Cricetulus griseus: one gene and its partners. The protein of the gene in region 1 purifies or fractionates together with the protein of each later gene. This does not show direct contact. Links are inferred from orthologs where the notes say so. Each region holds a gene or a part of one and is shown in the gene's direction. Other genes may lie near its edges. The genes, in order: Med12, Cdk19, Vdr and Med9.

What was found.
Region 2: the proteins of Med12 (region 1) and Cdk19 purify together in Homo sapiens (affinity purification with mass spectrometry; 10 studies listed by BioGRID and IntAct, counting the BioPlex papers as one, with this or other methods). This does not show direct contact. The link is inferred for Cricetulus griseus from reciprocal best matches to the Homo sapiens genes MED12 and CDK19.
Region 3: the proteins of Med12 (region 1) and Vdr purify together in Homo sapiens (affinity purification with mass spectrometry; 3 studies listed by BioGRID, with this or other methods). This does not show direct contact. The link is inferred for Cricetulus griseus from reciprocal best matches to the Homo sapiens genes MED12 and VDR.
Region 4: the proteins of Med12 (region 1) and Med9 purify together in Homo sapiens (affinity purification with mass spectrometry; 6 studies listed by BioGRID and IntAct, with this or other methods). This does not show direct contact. The link is inferred for Cricetulus griseus from reciprocal best matches to the Homo sapiens genes MED12 and MED9.

The regions. Positions count from the first base shown.
Region 1 is NC_048604.1:68,969,459-68,973,022, reverse strand, and holds part of Med12 (mediator of RNA polymerase II transcription subunit 12), read left to right. Parts: intron 1-262; coding exon 263-492; intron 493-1,073; coding exon 1,074-1,154; intron 1,155-1,271; coding exon 1,272-1,442; intron 1,443-1,646; coding exon 1,647-1,791; intron 1,792-1,958; coding exon 1,959-2,009; intron 2,010-2,304; coding exon 2,305-2,423; intron 2,424-2,609; coding exon 2,610-2,753; intron 2,754-3,183; coding exon 3,184-3,347; intron 3,348-3,547; coding exon 3,548-3,564. UniProt on the Homo sapiens protein: Component of the Mediator complex, a coactivator involved in the regulated transcription of nearly all RNA polymerase II-dependent genes.
Region 2 is NC_048595.1:262,901,152-262,905,179, forward strand, and holds the start of Cdk19 (cyclin-dependent kinase 19), read left to right. Parts: upstream 1-1,195; 5' UTR 1,196-1,448; coding exon 1,449-1,576; intron 1,577-4,028.
Region 3 is NC_048595.1:394,362,717-394,366,280, reverse strand, and holds part of Vdr (vitamin D3 receptor), read left to right. Parts: intron 1-275; coding exon 276-460; intron 461-670; coding exon 671-779; intron 780-3,064; coding exon 3,065-3,236; intron 3,237-3,564.
Region 4 is NC_048600.1:74,064,888-74,068,919, forward strand, and holds the start of Med9 (mediator of RNA polymerase II transcription subunit 9), read left to right. Parts: upstream 1-1,208; 5' UTR 1,209-1,244; coding exon 1,245-1,456; intron 1,457-4,032.

The DNA.
Region 1 (3,564 bases):
TGCCATGTGGGTGCTAGGAATCAAACCCTCTGGAAAAACAGCCCTCTGGAAGAGCAGCCAGGGAATGTTCTTAATTGCTGAGGCATTTTCCCAGACCTACCAACCACCCGTTATCAGGGTTTTCTTTTGTTGTTCTTCCTGTTATTGCCTCAGGGGTGTCTGTCTCTGCCTGGTCTAAGAGCGCCATTACTGAGATGTGTCCCTATCTCTTTTGTCCGTCTTGTGTTCTGCTAACTTATCTCTCCTCATTCCCTCTTTCTAGCTGATCCCCGCAGTGAGAGTGAACGAGTGGAATTCTTTAATCTAGTACTGCTGTTCTGTGAACTGATCCGACACGATGTTTTCTCGCACAACATGTACACCTGCACTCTCATCTCTCGGGGAGATCTTGCTTTTGGAGCCCCTGGTCCTCGGCCTCCCTCTCCCTTTGATGATCCTGCGGATGACCCAGAGCGCAAGGAGACTGAAGGCAGCAGCAGTAGCAAGCTAGAGGTGTGTGTCCTTTTCATTGCTCTTAATTATTACTTTTGACGTTCCCATTTTTACAGCTTCTAGAAGCCTCTGAGCATCTCTTGTACCCAAGAATAATGGTATTTTCTCAGAACTTCATGATTTATAGAATAGTCTCATGTCAGTTTTTCACTTAATCTTCAGAAAAGGCTTGTGAGGTACTTCTCCTGCTTTCCATTTAAAGGTGATGGAAACTGAGGCTTTGCCTACTGGTTAAGTAAATGAACAAGGTTTGAATCCATAACTTGGGCTTTCCTCATGCCCCCTTGATCCAGTTGTTTTTTTTTTTTTTTTTGGTGTTTTTTTTTTTTTTTTTTTTTTTTTTTTTGGTTTTTCGAGACAGGGTTTCTCTGTGTAGCTTTGGAGCCTATCCTGGCACTCGCTCTGGAGACCAGGCTGGCCTCCAACTCACAGAGATCTGCCTGTCTCTGCCTCCCGAGTGCTGGGATTAAAGGTGTGCGCCACCAACGCCTGGCCTTGATCCAGTTCTTAATGAACTTTCCTGGACAGTGAGGAAGCACTTCCAGGACCAAGGCAGCTCTTGATTTGTTGTGTGCCTGCAGGATCCAGGGCTCTCTGAATCTATGGACATAGACCCTAGTTCCAGTGTGCTTTTTGAAGACATGGAGAAGCCCGATTTCTCAGTAAGATCCCAAGCATGGAAGAATCCAGCACCTTGGTTCTCCCCTTATGCCTCCTTTTGGAATTTCTTTATGCCTCCTTTTGCTTCTCCTGAATGTTCTGCCCTTTCACCCTCTTAGTTGTTCTCCCCTACTATGCCTTGTGAGGGGAAGGGAAGCCCATCCCCTGAGAAACCAGATGTCGAAAAGGAAGTGAAACCCCCACCCAAAGAGAAGATGGAGGGGACACTTGGGGTTCTTTATGACCAGCCACGACATGTGCAGTATGCCACACACTTTCCAATCCCACAGGTACTGTTGTCCAACATTTGTGATAGTCTGCTTTGAGCCCAGATTTCCATCCAAGGAGTTTGCTGAGGGGCTAGACCAGTTCCCCAGGGTGTGGGTGTGTTTGAGAAGGGGCTTGAACGTGGGAGCTTTGAGAGATACAAAGCATGCTCTTAAGAGGAGGGCAGGAGACCCATGATGGAATCTGATGGTGCTGCCGGGATGCAGGAGGAGTCATGCAGCCATGAGTGCAACCAGCGGTTGGTCGTACTGTTTGGGGTGGGGAAGCAGCGAGATGATGCCCGCCATGCCATCAAGAAGATTACCAAGGATATCCTGAAGGTTCTGAACCGCAAGGGAACAGCAGAAACTGGTGGGTTTGAGTCTCCTTAAACAGAAGTCTCCCCAAAGAATGCCCTAGTCAGTCTTCCCATGCCCAGTGTAGGGCACTCCCCAGTCATGTCCCAATGTCCTGTCTCTTGGAGTCTCCTGAGAGCTCTAGTCCTTTTGAAACTTCCCCCTCATTCCCCCCCTCTACAGACCAGCTTGCTCCTATTGTGCCTCTGAATCCTGGAGACCTGACATTCTTAGGTACCTCACAGTAAGCCCCTTACTGCCCTCCCCCTACCCCCTTAACCTAGCGCCTCCCTGTACACATTCCTCAGAGGTCCACATAGTCTGTGGCCCTTTAAACCTGTGCTTCATTGTCCCGTTTATCCCTACCCAAGCCCTTCCTTGACCACCCTTCCCTTCTCTTCTCCTTCCCTCCTTCCCTTTTCCCCTCCTCCCTCCCTACCATAGTCCGTTCGCCACACCCCTACCCCAGCCCCTAGTCAACTGGTTTTCTTTCATTGTCCTGACTCATTGCTTTCAACTGTCCGCTCAGGTGGGGAAGATGGGCAGAAGCGACGCCGCAACCGGCCGGAAGCCTTCCCCACTGCTGAAGATATTTTTGCTAAGTTCCAGCACCTTTCTCATTATGACCAACACCAGGTCACGGCTCAGGTGTGGGCCTAAGCCAGCCCCCTTCCCATTCTGGCCTCTTTTCCTCTTTTCCTTTTTGTTTTATCTTCCCCCCCCCTACTAAACAGGCTAAGCCTGCTGGTCTCATCCCCTTCCACCATCACCCTTTCCTGCTTCCCTAGGTCTTCTTTCCTTCCATTCCTGTCTCACTCCTACTGCCCTTATCAGGTCTCCCGGAATGTTCTGGAGCAGATCACGAGCTTTGCCCTTGGCATGTCATACCACTTGCCTCTGGTGCAGCATGTGCAGTTCATCTTCGACCTCATGGAATATTCACTGAGCATCAGTGGCCTCATCGACTTTGCCATTCAGGTGGGGAAGTTGGGCCAGATAAGGGCGGAAGAAGGAATTCATGCTCTATAGGGTCATGAAGAGGAGTAGAGGCTCCAGCCAGTTTCCTAGGCTATTTGGATGGCTGAAAGACTAGCACAGTGGGAGTGGAACATGATCTAAGACTGCTGGAATAGAGGTTTAAGTGCTCCCTGGGGAGGCCCAAGAGACAGATTAGAGCTTTGGGTACAGACCATCCTCCCCCTGTGGAGTTTATAGCATGCTGTCCTGGAGACTGCTTAGAGATACTGCTAGTAGAGTGCGACACTGGTACATGGTAACCTGACCCTTCTGTGCTGAAGTGGCTGCAGCAGGAAGGAGCTCAGGCTTGGCCATGTCAAGTTCCTTCCAGAAAGTGGGGTTATGGCCAATGAAAGGGGCCTCTTATGTTTCACCTCCATGTCTCTGATAGTTGCTGAATGAGCTGAGCGTGGTTGAGGCCGAGCTCCTTCTCAAATCTTCTGATCTGGTGGGCAGCTACACAACCAGCCTATGCTTATGTATCGTGGCTGTCCTGCGACACTATCATGCCTGCCTCATCCTCAACCAGGACCAGATGGCACAAGTGTTTGAGGGGTAAGCAGGGTTCTGGTAAATGCCAGTTGTTAATGGCCTAGGAAGGATCGTTATACATGGGTCCACACAGTGGGGCAGAGTCTGCTGCTAAGGTATGGGTAGGAATAGCTGTACCAAGACACTTGAATTTATTTCCAGGGCTTTTGTGCCCTGGGCCATGTATACCCCTGTTGATCCTCCCTACCCTGCCTCTGTGACAGGCTCTGTGGTGTAGTGA
Region 2 (4,028 bases), on another chromosome or scaffold:
CTGATAAAGATACCCTATAAAATTTCTCTTACAAATTTAACATTCTCTTTACAAAAAATGTTCCCTTATATTTTATTTTGGGTAGTGGAAGGGAGCTGAAACTCGTGTGTTGGATGGATCTCCATTTCTTTTAGTTTAAAAATAATCAACACGCAGAGGGACACATTTTTAGCGTGGCACTTTCTAGGCTCTTACATATTTTGAGCCGACGTGTCCTGAGCCCCAGACATCAAAACGAATCAAAGTCATGATTAAGATAAATTTCTTAAAACCCCTAGGTGAGTCTCACTATTATGCATATACTGTAAAAACGCTTTACAACCCAGCAAAAATGATTGTTTTTAAAACGCTGCATTTTCCAATCTTCCAGGCACTTTAATTGTTCTCAGACAGATGGTTAAAGCTCGGCTACCGCACCCCGCATATGCTAGGATAAAACCCGACTGGAGCGCCAAGAAAAAGATAATTGGCTGTGGGCCCGAGAAGTTACACGGTTCCCCTAGCAAGAGCTGGGAAACCGCTGAATGTTCAGGTTTTGAAATACGGTTTTTGCATCGTAAAGAAAAAAGACTAACCTATCAGGAAGAACCGAGCACATCCAATTACCAATCAAGAGCGGGAAAGAAGCCAAAGCCGGAGATACCCATGCACCCACGAGGACGTCATTCTTCAGCCTCTGCCAATAAGCCGCGGCCAGGGGCGGGGCAACGGGAGGATCAATTGCCCAAGAAAACAAACAATGTGTAGTACAACTGTCGAAACCCCGGTCCTCGGCTCCGGATGCCCCGGAATGAGCTCCGGCACTAGGCGCTCGTGAGGTGCTTCCAGCTCCCTTCGCCCAGGGACAGCCAGAGCCGGTTATCTCCTTTCCAGCAGAGCAAAGGCTTCCCTCCCACAAGCTCCCACGGGCTTGCAGAAAGCTCGCTGCAACTTCGCGCTATAGTTTACGGGAACAGCGAGTCGCGGGCTACCTGAGGGGGTGGGGCGGAGACTGTGCGCAGGCGTTTTTGCCTTGTGGAGGCGTGGCCGAAATGGCCCAAGGAACCCTGGGAACTGTATTCCTTACCTCCGAGGAACTAGCACGGTTCCCGAGGCCTGTTAAACCACATTTCCCAGGATCCCCCGCCACCTCGGGGCGGGCCGCTTGGCTTGTTAATGAGTTCGAGAAAGCCGCGGCGCGGCCCACCAGGTTCCAAAACAAGGAAATGAAGGGGGGAGGCGGGACTGTGGGTGCCTGCGGGAGCCTCCGCCGCCGCCGCGGAGGAGGAGGAGGCGGAGGAGGTGGCTGCCTCGGCCGCCGAGGAGTCCCTTGCTGAAGGCGGACTGCGGAGCGGCGGGCGGCGCGCGCGCGCCCGAGCGGCGGCTGTTGGAGAAGTGGAGCGGCGGCGGCGGAGGGACTGAGTGGCGGCGGCCCCCGCGTCCCGGTTTCTCTATGGGGGAAGCAGACAATGGATTATGATTTCAAGGCGAAGCTGGCGGCGGAGCGGGAGCGGGTGGAGGATCTGTTTGAGTACGAAGGGTGCAAAGTGGGACGCGGCACCTATGGGCACGTCTACAAGGCGAGGCGGAAAGATGGGTAAGAGCGCGGGCGGGGGAGTGGGCTCGTCCGGTCCCCGCCGCTGGGAGACCCGCAGGGCTGGGTGGGTCGGAGCCCACGGGGCGAGGTGGCGTGGGTCGCGGAGCGGCGTCCCGGGGGCGAGCCGGAGGCACTCGTGCTGCCGCCCCCCGCTGGCCGGTCGCGCCCCTCCAAGTCGCTCGGCGCAGCCCCGTCGGGGGGCGTCGGTCCCGCCGCGAGTCGCCGCTGCGTGCTTACAGCGGGCGACGACCTGGTGGAGACCGCGCCTGGAGGTGGAGTTTGGAGGTCTGGTCCCCGGGGACTCGGAGAGGTCTGGGAGGGCTTGGCTGAAGAGTTACCGCTATGGCCCTGTGCTGGTGACGGTCGTGGAAGAACTTCCCAATCGGCGCAGCGCCTTCCCGGGGCGGCGGTTTGAAAGCTCGCGGGGGCGCCGCCCGTGTGGCGGCAGCGCGCTGAGGGTCCTGGCGGGCCCCTGGGGTCTGACTCTGGATGCTGCCAACCCAGTCTGCATCCCTGATTGCTCACCTGCTCCCGATTCCACATGCTAACATTCTGAGTTTAGCACTCTGAAGGTGGACCCTGGAGAGATTAAATGTTAGTGTTCTTTGGTGCCTACCTTTTCTTCCTCTTGGCTATCTTGGGTACCGCCTACCCCCCCCCCCTTTTTTTTTTTTAAGACAGGGTCTCTGCTCTCCTGGCTGGCCTGGAACTCAGAGATCCGCCTGCCTCTGCCTCTCAGGTACTGTGATTAAGGACATGTGCTACCCCCCTTTTTTTTCTTCAGGAAGAAATATTGAGTATTATATCCTCCATTTCCCATCCTCTTGTCAAATGGCTGCGTGCTTTGGTTGTGTTTATCGAAAACCTAGACCATCAAGAACAGAAAACGGAGTGACAGACCCAGGCCTGAACCACCGGTTCTTAGGAGTTGAGGGAATTTATAGGAATCTCTTGGGGAGCATTATTTGATTGTTATATTAATAATAATGCATCGAGAATGTCTTCTTTGGGCCAGAGCAGGACGGATGGAACCCGCTTCTGGCCTAGGAATGGTGGGTTTTAAAGCCGGTTGTTTCCTTGGTCCCATCCTGGAAGGAATTCCTTTTTGCTAGGTTCTGGAACTTGGAAAGAAAGTCTCCAACCGACCCTAAGGAGTGTCAGACTATACAAAAGAGAGTTTTTAGGATCGTGTTGGAGCATTTTTGATAAGCAGATTGTCACCACACTTTAGATTTGAAGTGCTACTTAGGGTTCCTTCTTGCACTGCTGTAATTTGATTGGCTGGGTGACGGAACTCCAGCATCAAAGTAGTATGTGCTGATTTTATTGTAAGAGGAAAAACAAAACACATCGTGTGAAGTGTTTCATATACAGTGCTCTGAAAATTACAAGAACTGTCCAGGTTTCAAGGATGATGATTACTGTTGTAGGTACAACTGTAGAGGTCAAGTTACTCAGTTGAAGGAGTTGTTTCTTTTAATTACCATGTGTCCTTGAGGGCTCTCCTGGGGCTATAGGTGCTGTAATCGAGTTGTGCTTTGTTTTTGGAGTATCCACAGTACTTTTTAAATTGGTATTCCAGTGGGAGTCTTTACAGGGATGATTGGGGAAAGCAAATCCATTGCTACTATTGGACATTGTTGTTATAAAATAACCGAGGTGGATCCCCTCTCTCCCCAAGCTAACTTTGTAGTACACTTCATCTAGAATTTAAAAAAAAAAGTTTTAAATTTGAAATATTTTTATTTTGCCTGGAAACTGAGAGAAGTTAAAAATAATTCTGCTTCTGAATTGAATTGAATGGCTGGGCTTGCAACAAAACATAGTGCCTTGTTCTGTTTGTTTCCCAGTGTGTCTCTCTAATAAAGATCTTGATTCAAATACACTTTTTCCTTGAGTGAAACTGGTAAATTAGAGTAAATAAAATAAAGTCAACTTTTGTATTTTCAAAGTAGATTTTAAAAACAACAGCAACCCCCCCCCCCAAAAAAAAAAACCCCAAAAACCAAAAAAACAAAATCCATTTAGAGCCAGAGGCAGAGGCAGGCTGATCTCTCTGAGTTTGAAGTCAACTGGGTCTACAATTCCAGGACAGCTAGGGCAACACAGAGAAACCTTGTCTTGAGAAACAAAACCAAACAACAAAAACTCAAAACCAAACAGACAACCTCCCCAACCCCAAAACCAAAGAAAACCCCGCTTAGAATATGGGTTGCACGCCACATAAACTGGCCTTGATTTAATCCCAACATTTAGGAAGTGGAGCCAGGCAGACCAGAGGTTCAAGGCCATACTTGGCTATACACAAGTTCCAGCCAGTCTGGGGTATGTGAGGCCCTGTCTCAAAAAAAGTGGAACATAAAAGTTTATAGTGACAAGTCTGAGGCAATATTTTTTCTAGTTAGGAATACTTATAATAAAGGAATATTGTTAAAAATTTCTTTTCATTAAA
Region 3 (3,564 bases), on another chromosome or scaffold:
TCCGATTGCCAGACAAATTTCTACTTCTCACTCATACACCTGCCTTTTCACTGTAGAAAACCCAGTTTCCTCCATTTCATGGCGTGGGAGCTAACATAACATGGTGGCTAGGTCCCACGGAGCTCCCCTCTGCCCTGCTTCCCCCCTCCACCCCGCCCCCACCGTGTAAGGAACTGACTAGCCCCTCCCATGCCAGTCCTTTTGTTGTGGAGGAAGCACTCCCGGAGGGAGGGATTTGGGGCCATCCCTCAGGACTTGCTTTCTTGCCCCCACAGTCATCCTAACAGATGAGGAGGTGCAGCGTAAGAGGGAGATGATCATGAAGCGAAAGGAGGAAGAAGCCTTGAAGGACAGTCTGAGGCCCAAGCTATCCGAGGAACAGCAGCGCATTATAGCCATCCTGCTGGATGCCCACCACAAGACCTATGACCCCACCTATGCTGACTTCAGGGATTTCAGGGTATGTCTGCTGGCCCAGGGCTTGAGAATCAGATATAGCCTAGGCATGGGGAGCCCGGATGGAGGGTCAGGGAGGAGCTGGGAAGATATGGAGGCCATGCTGTCCCCTGTGAGCCGTTCCCCTTGCAGACCTTCCCTGAAACCTTTGTTCTCAGAGGCAGGAGAATAGCCCCCAAATAGGGACCTCTGAGAACCCATCTTTGCCTTCCAGCCTCCAGTTCGTATGGATGGGAGTGAAAGGAGCTATCCTGCAGGGCCCACACTCAGCTTCTCCGGGGATTCCTCCTCCTCCAGCTCCGATCTGTACACAACGTCACTGGGTAAGGAGCCCTTCACCCAAGCAAACTGGGGGGAAAGTGTCCACCTCCACTCGCTCTTAGGCTATAGGGAAGGGACAGAAATCTCCTATTTGCATACGGTGTGTGGGATACAGCCCTTCTTTCATGGAAAGAGGGCTGGCTTGTGAAAGATGTGTGCTGGGAAGAGACCAAGCTGGGCTTCTGGCTGCACAGATGGGCCCTCTGGGTCCAGGCTCAGCCTCTGAGCTAAGCTCTGTCCTTAACTTCTTCCCTGGAATGACCTGGAGGTCACTCACTGCTCAAGGTGTTGGTCCTGGACTCTTTGGAAGGTGAAACTGATGTGGGAAGATGACCTATGATGCCAAGGGCCCTATGGCCTGAGTACTGGGGGGACTGAGCACCATCGCCTTGGACAACCTGTCGCCTTCAACTTCTGAGTTTGTGCTTTTCTGCTTTGGGTTCTCTTACATGTACATCTTCATCATCCTGCCTCGTCCTTCCTTCTTGCTCTATCTCTCACCAGTTCTGGTGTCCTCCTCTCAGGACCTGGAAGAAGGTGGGGATGGGACCCCCCTCTCCCTGCCCGCCTCACACATGTGTGCACATTCTGGGTAACCACAGTCTTGACCTTCACTTAGGACTCTGGCACACCTCTGGATGGATTGAAACTGGGTGCTAGTGCCAAGTGGACTGAGATAACTGCGCAGACAGTGCCTACCTACCAGAAATGAAGAGAGGGAAGTGGTCAAACACGAAAGAAAAGCGCTGGGCATGGCTGTGACTGGCACTCCCTTCCCTCCCCTCACTGGGATCCCCCTCCAGCCAGTATTCATTCTGCTTTCCATAGATGATGTAGTCATTGTCCTAGCTATGGACAAACAGTACTTCAGCTTTTTGTAATCATGTATGCCCATTAGGTGATTCTATTATTCTTTATTTTATTTGTTTATTTTTAAATTTTTCTTTTTTTTAAAACCAGTTTTATTTCATGTGCAATGGTGTGAGGATGCCAGATCCCCTGGAACTAGAGTCACAGACAGTTGTGAGCTGCTATGTGGGTGCTGGGAATTGAACCCGGGTCCTCTGCAAGGATAGCCAATGCTATTAACCACTGAGCCATCTCTCTAGCCCCTCTTTATTTTATTTTGCGATAGGGTGTTACTATATAACATTGGCTGTCCTGGAGACCAGGCTGGCCTGGAACTCATAGGAGATCACTTGCCTTCTGGGTGCTGGGGAATTTTAAACTTTTCATAAGTTCATTGGTCCAAGATCCTTATACCCACCAATGTGTATTCACATAGTATGTTTACAAACTCAGAAAGGTAAAATGATGTTAATTAAAAATTGTTATACAGAAGTAATACACATTCACCATAGCTATTTAGAAAATGTAGGTGAATACATTTTGTTGCATAATATAATCTTTGATCCTAATGTTCAAAGGAAATTACTGTTAACCCCTTGATATGTCTTTCTGATTCCCTTCAGAAATGGAATTGTGTTATGTAGCCTGATGATTCGTGGCCCTTCTCTTTTTTCATTTTATTTTAAAAAAAAAAAAGAAATATCAAAATCCCCTATTGTTGGATATCTATATTGCTTCCCAGTTTTTTTTAGTGTTTCTCCTGATAAATATTTATACTTAATCCAATTTTTTTCTTATAATGAATCCGTGGAAGTGGGATCACTACACACATAATGATAAGATCTCTCTCTCCTGGGGTTCCATCCTCTTGTCTTCACCTCTTGAGAGCTGGTATTACAGGAGCACATGACCACACTCAGCAACTGAAGGCTTTTCACTCCTGGTTTCAAGTAGTTTTTTAGATGACCTGCATAGCCACACATCTGCAGCACCTTTACCTGCGTAAGACTCTCTTCAATGCTTCAGTCTTTACAAATGCCAGCATCCATTTTATATTTGTCTTCAGTGTGTAGTTGGAAAATGTAAATATTCTCTACCTTGTAGGAAGTGAGCTTTTTGCCCCATGGGTTAAGGAAGTCAGCTTTTGCCCCTGGGTTGAGGGGTCCCAAACATGGTTTTAATTGAGTTATTAGGAAGACTGCATGCTTTGCAAAATTATAGATAAAAAGGACTTTTTTCCAGACTATCTCTGGCTTCTTGGATTTACTGCCTCAAAGAGCTAAAATAAGAGATGGGGAGAGACCCAGAGGGAGCCTGGGTAGGAAGAGGGACTCTGGGAGAAAGCAGTCACTATGAGGTGACTTTGCCTCAGGTCCTCACAGGAGGGCCTGGCCGGGGTGTCCCTAAGTAGTTCCCTCTCTTTCGTCATCTTCCCCAGACATGATGGAACCATCCAATTTTTCCAACCTGGATCTGAATGAAGAGGACTCTGATGACCCTTTGGTGAGCCTGGATCTGTCCCAGCTCTCCATGTTGCCACACTTAGCGGACCTGGTCAGCTATAGCATCCAAAAGGTCATCGGCTTTGCCAAGATGATACCAGGATTCAGGTAAGAAGCTCTTGTGGTGTGCTGGGAAACTGTCAGGATCCTATGTGGTACTAGACAATATCTGGCTTCCCCCAATGACAGCCTCAGGCTCATCCCAGAGGGCTTACACCAGGACCTCTGGGCCAGTCCAGGACTGTCCTTTAGCACATGTAGCTGCCCAGTATTATTTTGAGAGACTTCTGAGAGCAGCTCTGCTGCTCACTTTCTGGGTGATGAAATGACATCCTACTGAGGTTTCATGACCAGCTAGGATCCTTTTAGGGCATCAGAACCAGATCAAGGAGCCCTAGCTACCTGCAGCTGGCTCCCACTGCTGCCTTGAAACTAG
Region 4 (4,032 bases), on another chromosome or scaffold:
TCACCATCTAAGTAAGAGGTAAAGGCAGTGGGCATTTTAATGAGTATTTTTGCTCTCTTGGTTTGGGTTCTGGTACACTCACTTTTCAAAAGGAAATCACTTTGTCAAATTTCACTTTGTCTGTGTTCCTTTATGCAACACTGCAATCATTCTTTTCCCAACACTTTCTCCACTTCTTCTGTTTGGGACACTCTCTGCAGCTCAGAAGAAAACAATCCTGAGACCCATAACTAAAAACCTCAAAACACCTCCAATATTCCATTTCTGAAGATCTGGCTCCAAATGCCCTTCCCAAGGCAGCTGAAGTCAGCAACATCCCTGCTCCACTTGGGATTTGCCACTGTGAACTTCACATTCCTGTTCCTTTTTTCATGACTTATTTTTTACTTTATGTTCACTGGTGTTTGCCTGAATGTATGCCTGAGGGTATCAGAGCCCCTGGAACTGGAGTTACAGACATGTGTGAGCTGCCTTGTGAGTGATGGGAACCAAACCAGAGTCTTCTGGAAGAGCACTGAGCACTCTTAAGCACTGAGACGTCTCTCCAGCCCCTTCCTGTTCCTTTTTGAGCTCTTTGCCTCTCTTTACTGGCATGGGGGTTGAATAAGGACAGATGGCCTCTCCCAGTTGACAGCTTTCCTAATTTCTTGTCTAGAAATTTATAATACAGCTTCCATGTCATATTTTCCTTGGGAAAACATAATATCTATCAGAAGTCCCCCGCTTTTGCTTATACACATAAGTATATGGCACCTGCTAGATGCAGACTAAATGCTTGAAGAACGGTTAATTTTTCCCTCGGCAGCCATGTGGAACCTCGGCAGACAATGTGTTTGTATGGTGTGTTTTGCTGTCGCCAGTCAGGGGCCCTCCTGGAGGCTGGCAAGACACAAAGAAGCGTAGGTCCTTGTCATCAGGATGCTCGCTGCCTCAGAGCCCCATTTTCACACGGCGCTCACCGGCGTCATCCGTTCTTCCTGCCAGTCCCAGGGCGGGGACTGGCGGGGGGGGGGTCCTTGTTGGTGTTTTGACCCTTCTCTGTCATGCGAACTAGAAAAAGATGACTGAAATAGGTCCCCTACTCCTGACTGCTTAATTTAGCCGTCTGGATACCAGTCGCCTAGCAACACTTGCCCGCCTACGCCCAGCGCGCAGGCTCAGACCCTTTCCCCACCCGGCCTCCCGGGCGCACATCTGTGACGTAAGCATCCAGCGACTCTCGGCAGTACCGCACGCCTGGTACCATGGCTTCCTCCGGGGTGACCGGTGGGAGACAGGCCGAAGATACACTGCAGCCACCGCCCGAGCTGCTGCCGGAGTCCAAGCCGCTGCCGCCGCCTCAGCCTCTACCGGTCGCCGCGCTCCCGCCGCCGCCGGCTCCGCGCCCTCAGTCCCCCGCAGGCGGGAAGGAGGAGAATTACTCCTTTTTGCCGTTGGTTCACAATGTCATCAAATGGTAAGGGCCTAGGAGAGGTCAAGACACCAACTTTCCCGGCCTCTGGTGTTGCTGGTTCGGTCCGAGCAGCGGAAGCCAGCGCGCTCTGAGCCACGCCCCATTTTCCCAGAGGAGCCGCACAGTCGCCTTTTGAGTTCAGCCACCTCCCAGGCCTTGAGAGTTACACTGTGCATCCAGGTGAAGCTCACATACTGAGCAAATTCACAGGTTCTACGGTGCACTCCTCTTGTTCGCATCCCAGACCCCTCAGCGTCTTTGGGATGGGTCTCAAGTCCTTACACATATAGTCTGATGGCAACTTTTGTTTTGTTTTGTTTTTCGAGACAAGGTTTCTCTGTAGCTTTGCAGGCTGTCCTGGAACTCACTCAGACCAGGCTGGCCTTGAACTCACAGAGATCCACTTGCCTCTGCCTCCCGAGTGCTGGGATTAAAGGCATGAGCCACCACCACCTGGCTAAAGGCAATTGTTTTATTTTTCTTCCAGACAGTGTTTCTTCCCTGTGTAACAGCCCTAGCTGTCCTGGAACTTGCTTTGTAGAAGCAAGCCTAGAATTCAGAGATCGCCTACTTCTGCCTCCCGAGTGCTGGAATTAAAGGTGTATGCCACCCCTCCCGGCTACCTAAAGGCAATTTTATACAATTGACTGTTCATATGAAGCCTAGTGTGGGATTTTCCATTTGTAGCATTATGTGGTCCCCTTAAGAGTTTTCGAATATTTGTGGATTTTAGATGTGAGATTCTCACCTTGAACACAGTTCCCGTTTCAATACTAGGCAGTATCTTTACTTGTGTGGCACTGTTAAGTACTGTGGATGAACACTGGAAAGGAACCATCAGTTTACCATCACAGTAAGAAGCAGAGCAGAGAAAAACAAACATAATAGTCTATGATTTTTACAACTGGAGAGGGGTGGAGTGATGCTAGAAAACATTTGAAACAAAGACACGGAAGTTGCTCCAAATGATTATGTCCCACCCAGTATTAACTTTCAACAGAATATCCAAGGATGTGGGTGTTACCTTTCTGACCCAGAGTCTCCAGTCTCCAATCTGGCTTACATTTTTTTGTTGTTGTTGTTATTTCCATATACAGTTGTGTCACTTCCAAGAGGTGACTTGTCCTGCAAACATTCTCATCTCAAGTGTGCTTTGATAAACTTAGGTGGTGCAGGACAGTTACTCCATGGGGCCTCTTGGTGCTGTCAGGATTCTTGGTAACAGCAAGAGAGTGTTGGATGGCTTGGTGGGTGAGACTACTTGCTTGCTGTGAAAGCAAGACAATCTGAGCCTGAATCCCCAGCATCCACATAAAAAGCCACTCATGGCTGCTCATACTTGTAGCCCAGCATTTCAGGGTAGAGACAAACAGATCTTGAGAGCTCTGGCCAGCCAGCCTGGCTGAAACCGAACTTCCATTCATCATGTGACCTTGTCTCAAAGCAATAAGGTGAAGAGCAACAGAAAAAGACAACCTACCTTAGCACGACTGCCTGCACACTCAGCAGGCATTCACAGACACAAATAGCAACCCCAACGCACATATAAGGCATACCACACATACATAATAAACAAAAAAGAGTCTTGGCAGCATGGGACGTATGAAAGTTGCTGCTGGTATATTAAGACATTCTGTTAAAAGGGGGGTTTTAATTATATATTTGTTTGTTTGAGAACAGGGTTTTTGCTACAAAGCCCACACTGCCTTTGACCTTTTGATCCTCTTATCGCAGCTTCCTGAGTACTGGGGCTACAGGCGTGTACCATTACACCTAGCAACTGTGAATCTCTTAGTAGGAAGGAGTGTGCTTTAAAATCATAGTAAAAAGTTCATTATAGTAAATGCATAAACTAGTGACATCACTATTTATATCCTTATCAAGCATTAGGCACTACCTGTAATTGTATATGCTATACTTTCATATATCTGGCAAAATTATTGTGGGTTTTTTTTCACAATAGTGTAAGTGATGCATTCTGATGCAGTGTTACCACAGCTACTGTGTCACTAGGCAAAGGAAGGTTTTGGTTACATTATAACCATTAGACTATTACTGTATATATGATCTGGCATTGACCAGGTTATTCAGTGCTGACTGTATAGCTATAGGACAGTAGGTGCAAACCCCTGAACTTGTAACTTCTGCTAAACCATTAAATACTAAAAATAAATTAAGACAAGATTACAATTCCAGTTGGGCGGTGGTGGTGGTGGTTTCGCACACCTTTAATCCCAGCTCTCTGGGAGACAGAGGCAGGCAGATCTCTGTGAGTTCGAGACCAACCTGGTCTACATGAGCTAGTTCCAGGACAGCCTCCAAAGCTACAGAGAAACCCTGTCTCGAACACCCCCCCCCCAAAAAAAGATTACAATTTCAGCCATGTTTATGAACATTGGCATGCCCTTTGATGTTTCACTGATATGGAATTGCCATTTGGCTTAAAAAAAAATCTTAATAGCAGGGGCTGGAGAAGATGGCTCAGAGGTTAATAGCACTGGCTGCTATTCCAGAGGTCCTGAGTTCAATTTCCAGCAACCACATGGTGGCTTACAACCATCTGTAATGAGATCTGGGGC